2 linked regions of the Drosophila melanogaster genome follow. The protein of the gene in region 1 interacts with the protein of each later gene in a pairwise test. Each region holds a gene or a part of one and is shown in the gene's direction. Other genes may lie near its edges.

Evidence for each region.
Region 2: the proteins of Sk2 (region 1) and CG31482 interact in a two-hybrid assay, tested with the Drosophila melanogaster proteins (one large-scale study listed by BioGRID).

What each region holds. Positions count from the first base shown.
Region 1 is NT_037436.4:3,039,870-3,050,659, forward strand, and holds Sk2 (sphingosine kinase 2), read left to right. Parts: upstream 1-7,217; 5' UTR 7,218-7,320; coding exon 7,321-8,297; intron 8,298-8,776; coding exon 8,777-9,785; 3' UTR 9,786-10,290; downstream 10,291-10,790. Other genes in the region: CG2162 (uncharacterized protein), read left to right, coding at 58-107; Prx4 (peroxiredoxin 4), read left to right, coding at 3,183-3,336, 3,403-3,520, 3,572-3,977, 4,036-4,086; scramb2 (scramblase 2), read right to left, coding at 4,977-5,000, 5,104-5,262, 5,854-6,347, 6,768-6,882; CG32485 (uncharacterized protein), read left to right, coding at 10,670-10,790.
Region 2 is NT_033777.3:6,597,185-6,605,673, forward strand, and holds CG31482 (uncharacterized protein), read left to right. Parts: upstream 1-4,057; 5' UTR 4,058-4,125; coding exon 4,126-4,167; intron 4,168-4,225; coding exon 4,226-4,354; intron 4,355-4,411; coding exon 4,412-4,728; intron 4,729-4,781; coding exon 4,782-4,881; 3' UTR 4,882-5,017; downstream 5,018-8,489. Other genes in the region: CG1138 (uncharacterized protein), read right to left, coding at 1-752.

The sequences.
Region 1 (10,790 bases):
ATCATTGGCGCTGCCTTCCCTTGGTCTTTTATTAATCTGCCTTATCTTTTTATTCAGAACGCAAACTGCTAGCTGCCAAACAGCGGGACGAAGTCTGGGAGAGCTAGACCGCGGCCCGGAAGAAGGCCAGGTGCATTTTTCTCACCCTTTTCTCATCTGCAATAAATGCGGCAGCAAACACAACACCATGTGGATCGACAACAAGAAACACCACCATTAACGCCCACAAAAACAATTCTCAATCAAAGCTAACACAGTAAATGAGTAATTCGCATGCTAAGCAATGTACTTTTAATGTTCGCTTTTTGTGAAATTAACACAGACTTTTGCTCAATTTGTTGTAGTTTTTAGAGGATGCAATGCATATTATATCATCTAGGCCGTAAGAGAGAAATATCTATATTTATTGGTCGTAGCAATTAAACGTGCAGAGAGACGCGTGTACGTGTTGTTTTAACTCCAGCCGTAAACCTAATTTTTAAGCGCGAGCAATTTATATATTGATATACAGTTTGTCAAGAAACTGTTTACACACTGTGAAATAAGTTGAATTTTTGACTTTAAAGCTAAAAATAAAGGGTTTTTTGCTTAATTAAACGCAATTTTTTTATAAAATATAATTAAACAATATTTATTTTACTTATAAATCAAAAAACAAATTAAAAATATTAAATATACAAGAAAATAAACAACAAATTCCAAGTTTACACACTTTTGAGACTGTCAAGAAACTCTTTACACAAAACACTAAATCGAAGTTTAATCCTAAATTTTTTAATTATTTTATTAAAATTTTAAAAGTTTTGGTATGTAGTATGTTCCCCATTGGCTTTAGCTACAAGTTGAAGCCTTTTTTTCATGGATTGGACAAGTTTTTGCAGGTCATATTCAAACGGGATCTTTTCACACTCTTCGACTATTACAGTCATAAGCTGTTGTTGTGTTTTAGGTCCCTTTTTGCCACCTTCTTCTTTAAGTAGGTCCACAAATTTTCAATGGGGTTCAGATCAGGACTCTGAGGGGGCGTATCGATCACTTTACCACAGTTATTAAGGCGCCAGGTGCGTACATTGCACTCTTTATGTTTCTGATCATGTCCTGGTAAAACTTAAGATTTGGCTTGTTGTTGCTAACTAGACCGAATTTTTCTGCACTGGCCTTCAAATTTGTTTTTTAACATTTCTAGATATTGCACGGCAGTTATTGTGCTCTCAATTAAGGCTAGTTTTCCCACTCCACGGCTGGTGATACAGCCCCAAACCATCAGTGACATTTTTCCAAATTTTATCGTTGGAATGATATTTTGTTTTTCTAGCGCACTCAACGGTTTGCGCCATACTCTGCTTGGCCCGTCGTTATAAAAGAGCATCATTTTTGTTTCGTCACAAAATATGACGTCATCCCAGTACTCTTCCGCATGATCCATCATGCTCACAGCGAATTAATGACGCTTTTCCATATTGGCATCTGATAGCAAAGGGTTTTTCCTTGCAAATCTTGAAGAGTACCTATGGCGTAGGATGACTTGGCGCACAGTTTCGTGTGACACAGTTAGGTGGCATTCTTGCCTGATATCCAGAGCAAGTGATCTGACCGAGATTCGGGGGTTCGCAATCACTATTCGCATAATAAAGCGGTCTACACGCTTTTTAATTTTAATTTTCCGCCCACCACCGCTCTTAGGTTCAAGCCTGCCCTCTTTTTCCGAGCCTTTTAAAACATTGTAGACGGTCTTACGGGATACAGGAAACATTTATACTAATTCTGGAAAAGATTTTCCCAACTGGTGGTTATAGTTTATTAATTGGGTAACTTCAAAAGTTAATCTCTTTCCAGGCATTTTATTAAATTTAATAATTCGCTTTAAGCACGTTTGATCAGCAAAATTTCACAAGCAAAGTCAACAAAATTTCAATAGAAGCGTTGTAAAAAGCAATGCAAAGCCAAAAATAACGGAAAAATCGAGTTCGTTCTAAGAAAAAGAACAAAACAAAGTAGGAAAACAAAATGTGTAAAGAGTTTCTTGACAGTCTCAAAAGTGTGTAAACTTGGAATTTGTTGTTTATTTTCTTGTATATTTAATATTTTTAATTTGTTTTTTGATTTATAAGTAAAATAAATATTGTTTAATTATATTTTATAAAAAAATTGCGTTTAATTAAGCAAAAAACCCTTTATTTTTAGCTTTAAAGTCAAAAATTCAACTTATTTCACAGTGTGTAAACAGTTTCTTGACAAACTGTATATATTTTAATAAAGTTTATAGCGTAAGTAAAAGTTAACTGAGAAAGTGTTTTTTACTTAAAAAAAATTGGATAGATCATAGCATGGCCATACATCGCTTTTGATTCGCCAATGCAGCACAGATATTTTTTCTAAAATAATATTCTTTCAAAATTGCAGTTACGCGTTAATATGAAATGAAAATTCAAATATTTCATAATGAAATTTATGTTGGCAATGCTGAACTATGCATTGGTGTCGGAACGACAGTATGGTATTTTTGCGTATTACGGTCACACCAATGCCGGCAGAACAATTTGTTATTAAAACAAAAAGAGTTAATTATAGCGCTTAAAAGGTAACAGCTGTGCGTTTGCATTGTTGCTTAATGCAAGCAAGTTAACTACCCTGCAACTAAAAATAAATATTCAAATCGGAGCTAGGCAATCGCATTGGCATTGGAATTTTAGTAGTTTTGTAAACTATATTTGTTTAAATCGGTTACACGCTGACAACTATAAATTATAATAGCAGTGAAGTGAATGAAATTGATAAGCTTATCTTTTCGGAAGCGCAGCAACAATAAGCGCGTTCCACCAAAATCAATTGAAGTTCTGCCCGTTGAAATAGTTACTTTTTTGACTGCGTGGCTACAAGTTGTGGGCGTGTTCGAATTTTGGGTATGTGCGTACAGTAGAGACTGGCTGACACGGACGGAACAAGGATTTAGTACATAGAAGGAGTATCTTTTCTTTGAAGTTTAGTTTTGTTCCTAATTAACATTCAAAATTATATATCTTTACATAATTTACAAAATTAAAGATAGTTGGGCGACCACTGTACACAGATTTATTATAAATATAAAGAGCGGCAATAATTGTAAAGGCCGCGTGTAATAAATAGCGTATAAACCGAATCCAATAGCCATATACGTACGTGGATCTCGTTTCAGCCCAATCATGTCCAAGTACTTATCTGTCCTACTGCTGTCCGCGGCACTCGTTGGAGCTGCCAAGCCGGAAGATAATGAATCGTGCTATTCCTTCGCCGGCGGCTCCGTTTATCCCGACCAGCCGAAGGGCGACCATCAGCTGCAGTACACCAAGGCAGTCAGTGAGTTCCATTGGATGCAAAAAACCAGGGATCACTATTAAGTTGCTGCTACCCTTATTTCCCCAGTTTCCAAGCCAGCTCCGCAGTTCGAGGGCACCGCCGTGGTTAATAAGGAGATTGTGAAGCTATCATTGTCCCAGTATCTAGGGAAATATGTGGTGCTACTCTTCTACCCACTGGACTTGTAAGTTTACATTTACATTTAGTATGATCGCATTTCTCATTGCCATTTTAGCACCTTTGTATGCCCAACGGAGATCATTGCCTTCTCCGACCGCATCGCCGAGTTCAAGAAGATCAAGACCGAGGTGATTGGCGTCAGCGTGGACTCGCACTTCACCCACTTGGCCTGGATAAACACGCCGCGCAAGGAGGGCGGCCTGGGCGACGTGAAGATCCCACTGCTCTCCGATCTAACGCATAAGATCAGCAAGGACTACGGAGTCTACTTGGAGTCCAGCGGTCATGCGCTGCGCGGTCTCTTCATTATCGATCAGACCGGAGTGCTGCGACAGATCACCATGAATGATTTGCCCGTGGGACGCTCTGTGGACGAGACTATTCGTCTGGTTCAGGCCTTCCAGTATACGGACACCCATGGAGAGGTTTGCCCAGCAGGTTGGCGGCCAGGTGCCGATACGGTAGGTTTTTTGAAGCATTGCCTTAGGTAAATTCTTTTTGATACCATTACCTTTACAGATCGTTCCCAATCCTGAGGAGAAGACGAAGTACTTTGCCAAGAACAACTAGGGACAGATAGAGATGCACATTACCTTAGTAGCCTAGCCCAGTTACATTCCTAATGTTCACGACTGAATCACGATGCAAACGAACAATCGCTAGAGTCCTCTGTACAGAAAATCCAAATCCGCAATGCCACCGATTGTGAATATTTCGCATTTGCTTTGTACAAAACATAGTTTGTTTATTTTACAGCATAACTGAGATATAAATAAATTCATGAAGTACATGTGAAGGTGATGAAAATTGCGCGGCGCCACAGGAGCGGTACCAAAAAGGAGGAGATGTTTTCGATCTCAAAATGCCTTGAAAGCTGGCTCACTAGGCCACTCTAATGGGTAACAATTCGATTGCAATTAGTTTCATACAAAAATATATGTAATATGTAATATGTAGTAGGTAAAAGGTAATAGTAAATTAGTTAGGTACGCCATGGTTGCAATTAAGTTATCCTGTGCTCCGACCTATGCGTACAACAAAGCTAGGTCTGTCGAGGTATATAAATCTGGGGAAACGGGACGGGGGCGACGACAATAACTAGGACGTCATAAGGCACTCGTTCTCGTCGGATTCTTCGTGTGTAGTCTGCTTTCTGTTTTCCGTTTTGTGCGTTTGTCAGTAAGTGCTTCATTGTGGTGAGCTTTAAATGCCAAAACCGAGGTTCATAAAATAACGAAGGTGCAACTGCGGTTCAGATCCAAGTTGTGCGGGAGATTCCTTTGCTGCGGAGATTCCGTATCGATCAAAGCGTTGCACTGTTCAGATTCCCGGAAACGTTAATCAAATAAGGGGTTAAAAAGTTCTTAGAGCTATGACCATGCAACACGTCGAACCAAAAAGCAGTCGGCGATTATAATGTTTGGGCGTTTGTTCCTTTAGAATGCGATTCATCATACAGCCTACTGCTCGTAGTAAACCGCGTCCTGGAATTAAGACAAACACAAATCAATGAAGGGAAACGAGTATATAGCACTGGCATATGCTTTATTTCACTCAGTGATATATATGATATACTGATATACTCACAATCAAAAAGAGCGCTGCGAATATGAGCGCCTTCATGCGGACATCCAGATTCAGGGGGAAGGTGACGCTGAAGTAGTCCGCATCGGTGAACAGCTCCCTTCCCAGTCCGGACCATTGTTTGCTGATTTTGCCGATCTCCTCGTTGTTGGCGCTCAATACCTGTGCGCGGTTAAAGGGGCGAGAGATGTTTGCGTTTCGCATTAATCGGTTCGCAGTTCGCGGCATCGCAATTAATTGACTCGCTCTGGACAGTCAGGCATGGCTAACCATGACGTCACTGCCTCGGACTGCAGTCTCTTTGCTTCTGTACGATCACAGCAGCGGTCAGTAAAAGGGCTCATAGATCGGCACAAACACTTGGTGCATTTTAGCCATAAAAAGTATAAATTGATTGATTGATTTTCCTATATCTAGAGGCATCTGTTAAATAACGTATACAATTGAAAATTTAAAACTAGTGTGGGTGCTATTAATTTGAACGCTTCTGTCTGTTCATAATTATTTAGAATATATGTATATAGGCACTTATAAATGTTTAATAATTAAAAAAGCAATTAAGTGGACGCCTGATACTGTTCATTTTGGAATTTTATAAAGCTTCGTCTTTGACTGATGAAGACCATACATATGTACTCCTCCGAAGAATTTAAAGCTAATCCGCTGACCGCTGCTGTGTGTGTATACACTTGTTTGGGCATTGGGAATCGAGATCGAGAGCCAAGAATAACCACTTGTTGGCTGCGTACTGACCTTGAAGTTGGTATCGCTGAAGCACTTGCAGGGACAGACGGGTCCCTCGATCTGCAGGACGGTATCGCCGCATGTGTTCTTGATGTTGAACTTGGGCCGCATGAAGGTGCAGACCTGCTCAACGCTACCGATCACCTGGCCGGGTGGCGCCGACACCTCCACGGCGTTCATGCAGCTGGGAAAGCAGCAGAGGATGTCGCACTTGAAGGGCCGGTACAGGTGGAGCACCTCGTTCTGAAAATTGTCCAGTATCTTCATCTCGAAGGGGCGCGACCGGCCGAGCATGTTGCGGGTGCAGCAGTCGCTCTCCTCGTACGCGAAGTACACATTCTGGCCCAGTGAGTTCTTCACCTTGAAGCGGTTCTTCGTCTCGAAGCCGGTGAGCAGCTCCAGTTTCTCGATCTTCTGCGACACGAGCAACTGGTCCAGAGCGGTCAGGTATTCCAGTCCCTGCGGGCAGTTGGGCATGCCCACGGGTATCGACATCCAGTTTTCTGCAATGGGGCGTTGTTCCGGATTAGCTCCCTATGTATTTATATTTATCTATATGCATAAAGTGCTTTTCCGATATCTATGCATGGGTAAAGGAAATTAGCATAGCTACAATGGCGGTCAGGCGATTAGGGCCAGTGATAGCAGTTCTTAACATAAACTAATATTTTAAACAATATGTATTTACGTATTGACTTGGAATCACTTCACTTTTTGGTACATTATAAAATATCTTTTTTACATAGATAACTATGGGTGCTATTGCCATGCCCGCTGCTGTACTAAATGCCAAGAAAGAGACGACGGCATTTCCGCCTTTCGCACACGCCCACTAGCCCACACAGACGCGCGCAACCGACTAGGTCCATCCGAGTGATGGAATTCAACAGTGGACAAATCCATATATGTCCATCGCTACGCACCAGGTCCGTTGGCATTGTTGCCAACATTCGCCGCCTGCGGCTGCAGGACCACTGCGCCATTCTCGTCCTGCGGTGCATTCTGCGGGAGCACCTTGTACTCGCTCATCTGCATCATTGTTATTCCCAGCAATTAAATTCGTATCGGATTCTTTAACAGTTCACAAAACACTAAATGCAGGGTGACCGCGTTGCGAACGCCGAAAAATGCAACGCAAATGCACCGTACGAAATATTCTGTCATATATTTTGGTATTTATTCGAACACAGAAAAATATCAACAAAAAGCTTTCAGCACTCAATGCAGTGACAAGTTAAATTTGTTATGAGCTGACGTTTTTGTGGATTCATTTGTATTATTGCATTGTATTGCAATAGTTTCCTTAAGCTAGCCTCTTTAAGTTCTAAGAATTTTGAGTTTATTTGTGCCAGTTGGTATATTCGCGCCTGCCACCGACGGTAACACTGCGGCTATGATTGGATGATAAGCGATCCATAAAAGCCTGGACACAAAAGACCTGAAACATGCTGCTTGGCAGCCGAATCTCCAGTCGAAATGAGCGAATCTCTTGATAAGACCACCAGCCCGAGCTCGGCCAGTTCCAGGGCCACGCCCCCGGGAACGCAGGATGCGGATGAGGGCCACGACGTGAGCGATACCTTCTACACGAGCCAGCGCAAGAAGGGCAGCCACGTATTTCGGGTGCGCCTTGACGCCACAGGATTCACCCTGCAGCGGGAGTCGCCGGGCGGTAGCATTGTTAAGGAGCAACATGTCCGCATATCGGACATTGTGGGTGCCCGCTGCATGCGGCCCAAGAAGAGCCGGCGCCTGGCGATGTCGGGCGCCTGTGCGTGCAGCTCCGGTAATCCCAATTCGCCAGCCATCTCGGCGTCCGGCGATCACCATCGCCCTGCCACCACACCAAGCAAATGCAGCACCAATAGTCGGGATAATATTCCTTCGGATGGCGGCGATGTCAGCGCGTTTCTCTACGTTTTTGCCTATGTTCTGAAGAAGAGGAGCCTGCGGTCGGAGTTGCACCGGGAGCGAACGGTGCTCACTCTGCGCTTCCGGTCGTTCGACACCTTCGAGGACAACATGAGGGAGGCGGATCGTTGGTACAGATCCCTTCGCTGGCAGTTGCATCGCACGCTGGAGGAGATCTTTGTGGCGCCGACGGTGGATGAGCGACGCCGTCGAGTGCTTGTGCTGTTGAATCCCAAATCCGGTTCCGGTGACGCTCGTGAGGTCTTCAACATGCACGTGACGCCGGTGCTCAACGAGGCCGAGGTGCCCTACGACCTGTATGTAACCAAGCATTCCAACTTTGCCATCGAGTTCTTGAGCACCAGGTGCCTGGACGCCTGGTGCTGCGTGGTGGCTGTCGGCGGAGACGGTCTCTTCCACGAGATAGTCAATGGACTGCTGCAGCGCCAGGACTGGGCCCACGTCCTGCCTCATCTGGCACTGGGAATCATTCCTTGCGGCTCCGGAAATGGATTGGCCCGCTCCATTGCCCATTGTTACAAGTATGTTATCTTTGTTTCATGTTTCATTAGGAAAAACCCCCTTTTGACTTATGTGGATCTTCATATTTCGTGTAAAACAATCCCTCCAGCGTCTAGCCATGCAGTTTATCATTAGATTACATTCATAAGCAAAAGTAGTTTTCTTATCGTGTCAAATGGTTTTGTTGTTTTGCAAGTGGGGATATCCCCTTAAAGTTAAATTGACGTCAGACTAGAACAAACTTTCCACATCGTTAAGTAATTGCCCCCCAATTTCGTTCAACATTTAGTGGCATATCATCGAACTTTGAAATCTTTATGTTCTTTCTTTATGTTCATCTATAGCTCAACTTCCCGATAAAAGAGTATAAAAAGGGTAATAGAAAAGAATGTTTATAGACTTTAAAACCACATTCAGGTGTCTCATATCCGATCTATTGGTCGTAATCCGATTATCAGTCTTGTGTTGAAACCTATTCACTTGAAACCTTTCTCCCCAGCGAACCATACTTCAGCAAGCCAGTGCTAGGAGCTGCTCTGACCGTAATCAGTGGACGCAGTTCACCCATGGACGTGGTCCGGGTGCAGCTGCAGAGTCGCTCCCTCTACTCCTTCCTGTCCATCGGCTGGGGTCTGATCTCGGACGTGGACATCGAGAGCGAGCGCATTCGCATGTTGGGCTACCAGCGCTTCACCGTGTGGACCCTCTACCGTCTGGTGAATCTGCGCACCTACAACGGCCGAATCAGCTATCTTCTGACGGACCATGAGGTGTCCTCAACCCATAGCGCTACCGGTTATGCTGCCCAGCGGAGAATGCAGAGCAGCCGTAGCTGCAACACGCACATCGACATGCTAAATGGGCCGGCGCCCATCTATCATTCCAGTGCCGAGTACCTGCCACAGGAGTTTGCGGACGTGATCTCCCTGGAGACGTCCATCAATCAGTCGTTCCGCTCGAGGTGCGACAGCTGGTTGTCGGGGGGATCGCGGCGCAGCTTTTACTATTCCATATCGGAGAGCATCTACCACAGTCTGGCGGATGAGAGCGAGTTCGCCGGCCTGGCGGCCGCCTCGCTGGAAAACCGGCAGCAGAACTACGGTCCGGCAAGCGAGCTGCCGGATCTGAACGAACCGCTGTCCGAGGATCAGGGTTGGCTGGTGGAGGAGGGCGAGTTCGTCATGATGCACGCCGTTTACCAGACCCATCTGGGCATCGACTGTCATTTTGCGCCCAAGGCCCAGCTGAACGACGGCACCATCTACCTGATCCTCATACGCGCCGGCATCAGCCGCCCGCACCTGCTGAGCTTCCTCTACAACATGAGCTCCGGCACTCACCTGCCGGAGTCGCACGACGACCATGTGAAGGTGCTGCCAGTGCGAGCATTCCGCCTGGAGCCCTACGACAATCACGGCATCATCACGGTCGACGGCGAGCGCGTCGAGTTCGGGCCCCTCCAAGCTGAGGTCCTGCCGGGCATAGCCCGCGTCATGGTGCCCAAGTAGGAGGAGCTTACTGAAGACCATCAAGCAATAGAAATCTCAATTTTGGAATCTCTGCATTTGTAGCTAATACTTAGGGTCCCAGGTGGCCGATATGAGAGAGTTGTGCATTCTACATATTTCGTGTTTTTGTGGCCTGCTTCTGCCAACCAATCATGTATTGTTAACATTTTAAACACAATAACAGCTATTTCCGAAATATCTAACATGTTTGTTTATAAAACGTGTGCCATATGAAGTGCACGTGAATTTATTTTTATCTCGGCTGTTCAAAATAGCGATGAAAGTCTTATTTATTTTGTTCTTTTTTTTTTTAAACTGTGTAACGAAATGAGATATATATTCAAAATGTTTAAAGATGAATACAAATAAATCTTCATGAATTCAAAAATCTTAGAAAGTAACAGTGTAAGTAACAGAGCTAAATCATTTACAATTCCATATTTTAAAGTAGGAAGTTAAGAATATAACATCTTTGAGCTTGAAATAAAAAATAAAAATGTTAACTAATTTCAGCTCTGTTTCAATTTGTTTTCTTCTCTTTACTATATAGTTTAAAATATTTTTCAAAATTTATTATCAATTAAAGCTTTTATTAAAATGTAACGGTTCCAACCAATAACGGTAATTTTTCGGTATTTCGTGCTTGCATTTAGTATTGTTGTGGAACGCAAATGACAGCTTTTAGAGAGTTTCAGCCGGTCACACTGGTCGAAAAAAAAGAAAAAAACAAATCCGTTCCGTTTGTGAAAAAACATTTCCGAGTAAAAATAAACAGCGCTGCTTGCATTTCACATAGTGTCAGCACATTCCGATTCCAGTCCGCGACTCTCCAGCACGGAATCCCAGTCTGCATTCCGGTCAGGAAGCGATTCGTGCTCTACAATATGTCGTCCGAGGAGCTGGCGCCAATTAACGAGCAGGACTTCAAGGATCTCAAGGAGCGCATGAAATTGATTGTGGAGGCGGATCCAAAGCAGTATCACAATGACTTTTCGCTGCGTCGCT
Region 2 (8,489 bases), on another chromosome or scaffold:
ATTGTCACCCTAGCGGCTTCCTTCCGAAAAGGTTTGTATTCACTCTTTAACATCTGCTTTTTAAGTTGAGTTGTTATCATCTCATTACTTTTTTCTATAAATTCATAGAACTCCCTGCCAGTATACTTATCTTGGTCCAAGAACCTAAACCGTTGAAGACATAGTCCTTGATGTTTTTCGAATTTGAGCTTAAAGGAGTCTAGTTTTTGAATTTCAATCTGCAACTGATCCCCTAATTTCTTGCTTCTGCAGTATTCATCCCGTACCAGTTTTTTGGCCAGATTGGATGATCTTCGGACGGATTGCATCTGAGTCAGTTGGTGCTGTAGTTTATGGCTTGCAAACTTCAGCTGAAGAATTTCGGGATGAACTTCCTTTACATTTGTCAAAAATATATGATCATCCAGGCAGGGATCTATTTTTGGGCATTCCGGTATATTGGTACCTAGTTGGTAATTGAGTCGATTTACGCGCCGCTTTAAGCGAAACACCTCATCGTAAATATCTTCGAGTTCCAGATTGCTTTTCTCGTTTGATTCTTCTAGAACTTCCTCAGCGATCCAGCAATCTTCGGATTGCAAAACACTCTGCATCGTGCAGTGAAACACTTTTTTTGGCCCGTTATGTTTGAATGCGAACTTTGATTGTGCCAGTTTCTTATCATTTGGTTTAGTGTTTTCCATTTTACTTATTCCTGCTGCCTTGCACGATAAATTTTGGTCCACTGATTGCAGTATTGGTAATGAATTCATCTTGAATTCATTCCTCCAAATTAACCAATATCCAATTAACTGTGAACTTCAAAACGGAAACTAACTCGGTACACAACGAGCACTTCCAGTGTTTTCAAATCATCTAACACAAATCTCAATGAAGGCTTAGATAAAATATCGTATATATCGATCTATCTATGGGTTTGTTCGATCTTTTAGTTGGGTACGTGCAATTATTATATCCTTTTTCAAAGCGTCCCTTAATTTGTAGTTTTAACTACAACTAATGCAGTCTTCAACGCAGATATATACGCAATATATAAAAATGTTATCGGCAAGAAAATCCACTGAAAAATTTGCTCAACTCCCATTCACGGAATTTCAAATCCTAACAAAAAGCCTGCTTAATGTGAATTTAAAATACCAAAATGAAGACGGAAAAAGTTGGGATACTATACTGTCCCAAATAAAATAGCAAAAACATAAACTTATTTATATATAAATACAATTATAAGGAAAATACATACTTATGTTGTTATTTAAGCCAGGTTCTAGACACTCTGAACTCCAAAAATGTAAGAAGAGTTTGGATGCAGTGTGCACTCAATGGGTAAGCTCACATTATTGAATAGATTTTGCGGAAGGCAGAAGCTTTCCTTTTCACTGAATGACAGCGGAAAATGAAGTGAAATCTAATTAAAACCCTTTGCTAAAATCACAATTGTCAGCGAAAGCTCACGCACACCTGCTCGCAAAACTCACGAGCACACAAACACTGACACAGACAGATGGACAGACACCGGCGATTCCCATACGCAAACAAATAGAGGATCCGATTCTGAGCCCGAGTGGGGCGGTCCTGGCAGGTGAAAAACAGACGTCAGCTGTCCAACTACCCGAATGCGGAATCTGGTGAAAACAGTGCAAAAGTTTTGACCAGAAATAAAAGAAAGGCGAACTGTACTCGGCTTTGGAAGCCACCACCACTTAGTGATGCCAAAGAGAACCTGTGTTTGTAAGATTATTACTAGGAAAACCAAACTTGAATAATACCAATAAATATACAGGAAAGACAGGACAAATCCAATTTATGTTACATGTTTTGGATGTCTACATCACCCATGAAACTCCGCGAATCTAGCCATTAGTTAAATGGCTTAATAAAAATTGTTTATGTTTATTAGGGTAAATCATTGACAGTTTCATAATTTGATTGTAAATGATGGTAATCGGTAGCTTACAATAAGCTGGCTCACCTTTTTTTTTAAGATTTCTTAGGATAGGTAAGTGCCATCTCTGATTTGAATCTAGATGCCACGGGGTGAGGGGCACATAACCTCCAGGAGCGAATAAAACGCGCTGTTGCACACGAAAAATAACAAGCTGCGTTGGTCAATTCATCGAATGTCGGTCAGGGCTGCCGCCAGGGAGAAATGGATTGGGCAATGGGCACTGGGCAATGGGAAGCAGGAGCCCGGAGGTGGGTAAGACCACCTGGGCGGAGGTCCATGCAGGGGGCGACATAAAAGTTTCACACCCAGCCATTTGGCCATCAGTGTCCAACAGAGCCGTTGGGCCGGAGTTGCTGTGTTTGAATTAAAAGAAATTAGTTTAGTTATGCCAATGCTCCCCGGGCTACGCTATTGAGTTATCGGCCAGGCAGGAGTGGGACAACTTGGTGCCGGTGACAGGAGGCAACTCGGATGGATAAATTGCAAGTTTTCCCTTACAATTTTGAGTGTGTGCTGCTTGTCCTTGCGTGCCTGGAATTTCAGAAAAAATAAACGCTTTGCGTGTTGCTCTTCTGATGTCGTTTAACCATTATGTGGCATGAATTTGCCATTTTCATTTAAATGCTGCTCTTGGCAGCGAGTCAACTCGTTGGCTTTTTAGCGACTGTTCTGCATTCATAAGCAGCAATCGTATATATCCTGCGGAATGTACTGAAATTGTTGTTGGATTTAGGTCTAAATGTATACAAAACTAGTATTCTTATTTGTTAAGCCCTGAATAAATTTAATTTTTAAATTGCATAAATTGCAGTGCAGTGAAATCATCTGTAATACCCATAGTACCAAAAACCTTATTTTTGTGAATGATTTTGTGTTGCGTACAAAACCTAGATTTCACGCTGATCATTTCCATTCCTAAGTTTTGAAAACAGCAGAGGTGCCATCACCAGTGACGAACCAGATTATGCTCATGCTGGTGCCATCGAAATTGATAGTGGAAATATGTGTGCTGAATGGGATATTTAAGCGCGCCTATCAAACACGCGCACAATAAATCTTCGTCACGGGCCCAAATTGACATTTTACAGCCAAAAACCAGAAACCAAAGCCACGCAGAGGACAAAGTAAGTTCCACTAGTCCGTGTTCCAGCTGCTTTTTTGCTCCTGCGGCTGCCGCTGTTTCGAAAGCCACTGATATTGTTGTCAACGATGATGGCCCAAGGCATCAGCCACATGTGTGGGAGCCAGAGCTCGTCCCTCCTCAAAGTGCCCTCGCACATGGTTGGCAAAGCCAAACCTTTATTGCCACAGCTCCATGGAGCAACAGCGAAAATTTAATATCTGGCTGGGGCGTGGCTCCATTGGAGCTGGTCCGTTGTTGCTGGCGATCAGAACTCATCGCATTATCCTTTGGCCTGGTGGCGGTTACTCGCTCAAAATAATTGCACACTGCACCCCCAATAAGTCTGTTCGCCCGTTTGATACAGAGAAATTTCTATTCGCATTTCCCAAACAAAAGTGGTGTACAAAAATAAAACTGCATATAAGTTTTAAAACATACGCCATACAAAATATATTAAAAAATGTCCGAAAAAATATTGTGCTTTTCCTCGTTCTGGTTTTCAGTGTCTCTGTGAAGTCATCTGTCAGTACCCTAATGCAAAAAGCATGAAACCTCAGGCCAGCTGTCAACACAACAAGCAAATTGCCGCGGAAGCATCAGTTTTGAGGCAACTAGACTTTTTTGATATGGAAAAACCCCTATCAGTAAGAGTCACTAGAACTATAGGTTTATTTTTAAAAATAATCAGCTCCTTTAACACAAAGTTAGACTTCTAAGTAGACAAACAAAATTTAACCCTCGTCTAATTTGTGTTTCTTTTGAGATTGGTTTTGATACTCAGCTTTCCATGCATTATGTCCGAATCTAAAGTCAACTTCATATTTTAGTAGATTTTTGGAACGATACTCATGTACAAATGATACAAACTGCATGAGAAGTGCACGGACTAAAAACTGTATTAATTAAGGGATCCTCCATACGCTTTATAGGTACACCAAACTAATTACAATTTAAGTAACTTTTAAATTACGTCACCAGAATTTCGAGGTCTTTAAAGCAATCAGAATCCTAGATAAGTTTGTCAAAGTTTTCGTGCTATAGTTATTCTCAAAAAAACATGTTTTTGGTGAACATATTGATTGTTTTGGCTCTATGTTTGGTATAATTAAATATTTAGTAATTTTAAATGAAATCTGATTTATTCTCCTGTATTCTAGTTGGTGTTGGTTATAGCTGATCTTCAGGAGGACCATCTAAATGAACACAATCGGTTGAGGGAGAAGCATGGAAGTCCGCCTCTGACCTTGGACGATGAACTCACAAAGGGATGCGAAGAATATGCTAAAGTATTTCGTTGGTTAATAACAATGTTACCTTTTTACACTTTTAATACCCTCGAACAGGTGCTAGCCAATAATGAAAAGTTAGAGCATTCAAGTTCTGCCGGTCAAAACTATGGTGAAAACTTGTGCATGCGGTCACAAACCCCTCTGCAATGTGTTCAAGACTGGTACGACGAAATCGCGGACTACGACTTTGAAAAGCCACAGTTTGCAATGTCAACGGGTCATTTCACCGCCCTCGTTTGGAAGAATGCGAAAAAAATGGGTATTGGGCAAGCCAAGGACAAAAAGGGTTACTACTGGGTGGTAGCAAGATATTATCCACCAGTCAATGTGAACGGGCAGTTCGAAGAAAATGTTCTTCCGCCGATCAAAGGGTAAGCAAATTAATTACATCTGTAGTTTTTTCTTTCATTTTATTTCATTGCAGGGAAGGTGATGAAAATGGTCAAGGCAATTTGAATAGATTTCAAGTTGACAATATTCCCATCATAGTCATGCTTTGGTTATGCTGGCAATTCACAAATTGAGGGTCATTATCACTTTGAAGTTTTTGTGCCGCAGTTCTTGTAAATTTGTAGTTAAGCAATTTGAAAAACCAATTACTGATATTTGAAACTACTCTGTACCCAATAATAAATTTCACTTTTTGGAAGTTTGGTGAATATGCCATTGTTAGTTATGTAAAACCATTCTATCTAGTTGCTTGCAACTTGTAGTTCACCAGGAAGATATTAAAACAGCACACGATATTTAATGATCGAAACTGGGGAGTGCTGCCTTAACACTGGGGTGTTTGGCATTTACAAAAACTATTTAAATGCATGAAATATTTTGAATTAAAAAAAAGAGAGAATGTTATAGTCGAGTTCCCCGACTATCTAATACCCGTTACTCAGCTGCTGGCAGTGAGAACGTGATATTTCATAATTTTCTGGCATATCGATAGATATTGGAGAATTTAATGGGAAGGCGTGGCTGCATGGATGAACAAACTTGTGCTTTAGAATCTGTATGCTTTATCTTAACCTTATAGCTTATATAATTCCTGAAATTTCGACGGTCATACGAACGACCAGACAGACGGACATGATCCTGATCAAGAATAAATATACTTTATACGGTCAGAAACTCTTCCTTCTACATACTTCCTTGACATACTTTTTAACGAATCTAGTGTATTCTACTTAATTCTACGAGTAACGGGTATAAAATGTGTTAAAATTTATATTATTTGAAACAGCTATTACTACAGCTATAGAAATCCAATCTAAGACGACACAGCACTGGTGGGCGTGTGAGTATGTTGGGTTAATTTGAATTCGTGCGATAGGGATATTCAGTTTTTTTTTTTCACTAGGCGCGGGTTGTTCTGGCCTTTTTCTTTCCGCATTTATTTTTATCTTTTTTGGCAATCAGCATCAGCCGAAAGGAATTCCCCATTGACTATGCCGGTGTCAACAAAGTGGCGGAAAAGAATTAGGTATACTGTCTCGGTTGGCTGTTTATACCCTTCTACTATCTCAATCCTTAACAAGTTTTAGATGGCTTAATATATTTATAAAATTATATAAATTGTAATCATTTTTATGAATTATATCACATTACTTTACCACTAAGTCAAAATGGGTGACTTATGCACCTTTTGGGGTGGTACCTACCACGTACTGGGTATCTATAAGTCGGTGCAATCAACTAGAGCGCTATTTTATTTCAAGCTTTGTTTCCTACATGTCTGTTCCCAAGTGGAAGTCGATGTCTGGGGCTCAGCAGCTGCCGGGAGCGCATTAAATCCTTAAGCACTCATTATTATTCAATCAGATATGGAGTCGAATGTCTTTTTGTTTGTGTCTTACTTAGCCTCGCTTTCTGGGTGGCTGCGCCGTGCGTGGGTCCACCTAATGACATTCAAATTGCTTCCATCTCTGGTCGGTTTCAATTGGAACACCTTGCACAAAAATTAATGGAATTATAGATCACAGCGTCTAGGGATGCATGTTCCCCAGATATTTCTTTGACGTCTGGTTGAGTGTTAAATGTAATGAAAGCAGAAATTCTATACGGATTTGAAAGTTGGAAATTGGTACACTTCTTAAAGAAAATAGTGTGAAAAATGTGTGTCATTTGGAAAACTGTATTTTTTATGCATACCTTTAATGCGTTTGCTTTTGAGGGCTGAATAACTATCTTTCGAATGTCCTTTAGTTCGGGCACTTATAAAATGCTCCCCATCACCACTCTATTATGGTTTGGGTTCGACGGATAGCCGAGTTTGTCAACTATTTACAACTTGAACTTGGTCGTAATATTTATGTGCATCGTAAAGGCCGAAAGTTGGAGCGACGCACTGAGAAAATGTTGTGAAATCAAATTTACACACAAACCATCCCTAATGACCTAGCCCACAGACAGAACGGAAACACGGAGGCGCCACTCCGGAAAAGGACGAAGCCAAGTCGCGGAGCGTTGTGTCTCGTTGGCAGAACTTCATTCGCGGGGCTGGAAATTGTTTAATTTCGCCCTCTCTTAATTATCTGCAGTGTGCCGGGTGCTTAAATTATAATGGCGCTGACCTAATTGAGTAATAATTAAAATTAAGTGCATGCTAAATTGTTATTAATTATAAAGTGCACGCAAAGATGCCACCAACTTTCATCGATAGCGTGCTAAGGGATACTTAAAGGGCCCGGGCTAGTTGGTTGCAAGTGTCACCAATCGAGAAGGGCAGACTGAAATCTATGGCCCATTCAGACCATTTACAATATTCTCTTTTTAATAAAATAGCACTGCGGCCAAAAGTTAATTTACTTTTCGCGACGCGTAATAACTTTGGCCAAATATTAAATGCGGTACTGGCAACTAATGCAATCACACCCTCTATTCAGATTGAGAGACTGCAGCAGTTGCACTGACATTTCAATATAAATTATTGCCAATGGGAGTGGATAAAATGTCGCATGTACCCGGAACATGAAAACACCGAACAACAAATAGACGACTGGCTGGTGGCGGAACAAAAACAAGGGGAAAACCAGAAAAGAGCGTTATTCATCGTTAAAGCGACTGAAGGCTAGAGCGATGACGACAGCGGCGGACGGCGAGATGGATGTACAGGGCGTATGCGCAATGCGATATGCAACAAATTGCTAAACAAATCAAATTTATTGCCAGAACTGCGCGCACAACAGCATTTGCAGTACGCATGTAAAGCGTCGCCGAGATAGCAGAAATTAATATGGGTCCGCACCCCTCGTTTGGCTATCAGCGTTGCTATAACATCATTTGGAAGCGCTCTGGTCCAGTGGTGCTTGGTGCCTGGTGCTCAGTCCTTTTGTAGCCGTTGGGTTGGCCCAGCTCCCGTTTCATTCTTTCGGTTAAACTGCATTTTTGCAGGCGCAGACTGCATGCATAACAACATGGCGGTCGCTCTGACCGGAAGTCCGACTTGTGCGGCGTTAAATTTATGCCAGAATGCGGCTTCAACGCGCCGCAGTTGCAGCTCCAGCTGCAGATCCTTTTCATCCTGAAGCTGCCGTTTCCCCACATTTGTACAATGGGTTAAATGAGATGGACAAGCTGGGTGCAGCTTATATACCAGCTTTTTCCGTTAAAGCGTTACCCTCCCAAGTTAACTTTACACCTTATTAAAAGTAGCTTGTTAGGAATAGTATATAAATATAAATCTATAAATATTGAATATTGCTGTGGTTCGAATTAAGACAAAAACAAGAATAAACGCAGTACCTTAACCATTAAATACCCGTTCTCGTGCTAATAGAAGTGCAACGAGTCATTTTGCACTCACACGCCACCTGGCGGCTGCTAACTTTTAATGAATGGTAAAAATTTAGACAAATCCGCACTACAATTTCTGTAAAAAGCTGTTGGGAGTTACTTATATTGGAGGTAGAAATTTACAATAGAAGCTGGGAGTATTTATAGAAATTTAAAAAAAAAAAAAAACTAGATGAGCTCGTCATGAGTTGTTGTTAAAGGAAATATGAACTTTATTTTGACAGAGTTCTGCCCATTGTCGTCGCTCAGGCAGTTATCCTTGCTGTTGATTTTTATTTTCTCAATTAGGAAGCTGTTTTTATTATTGTTGTGCGCTGCGTACAGTTAAACAAACTAAACATGG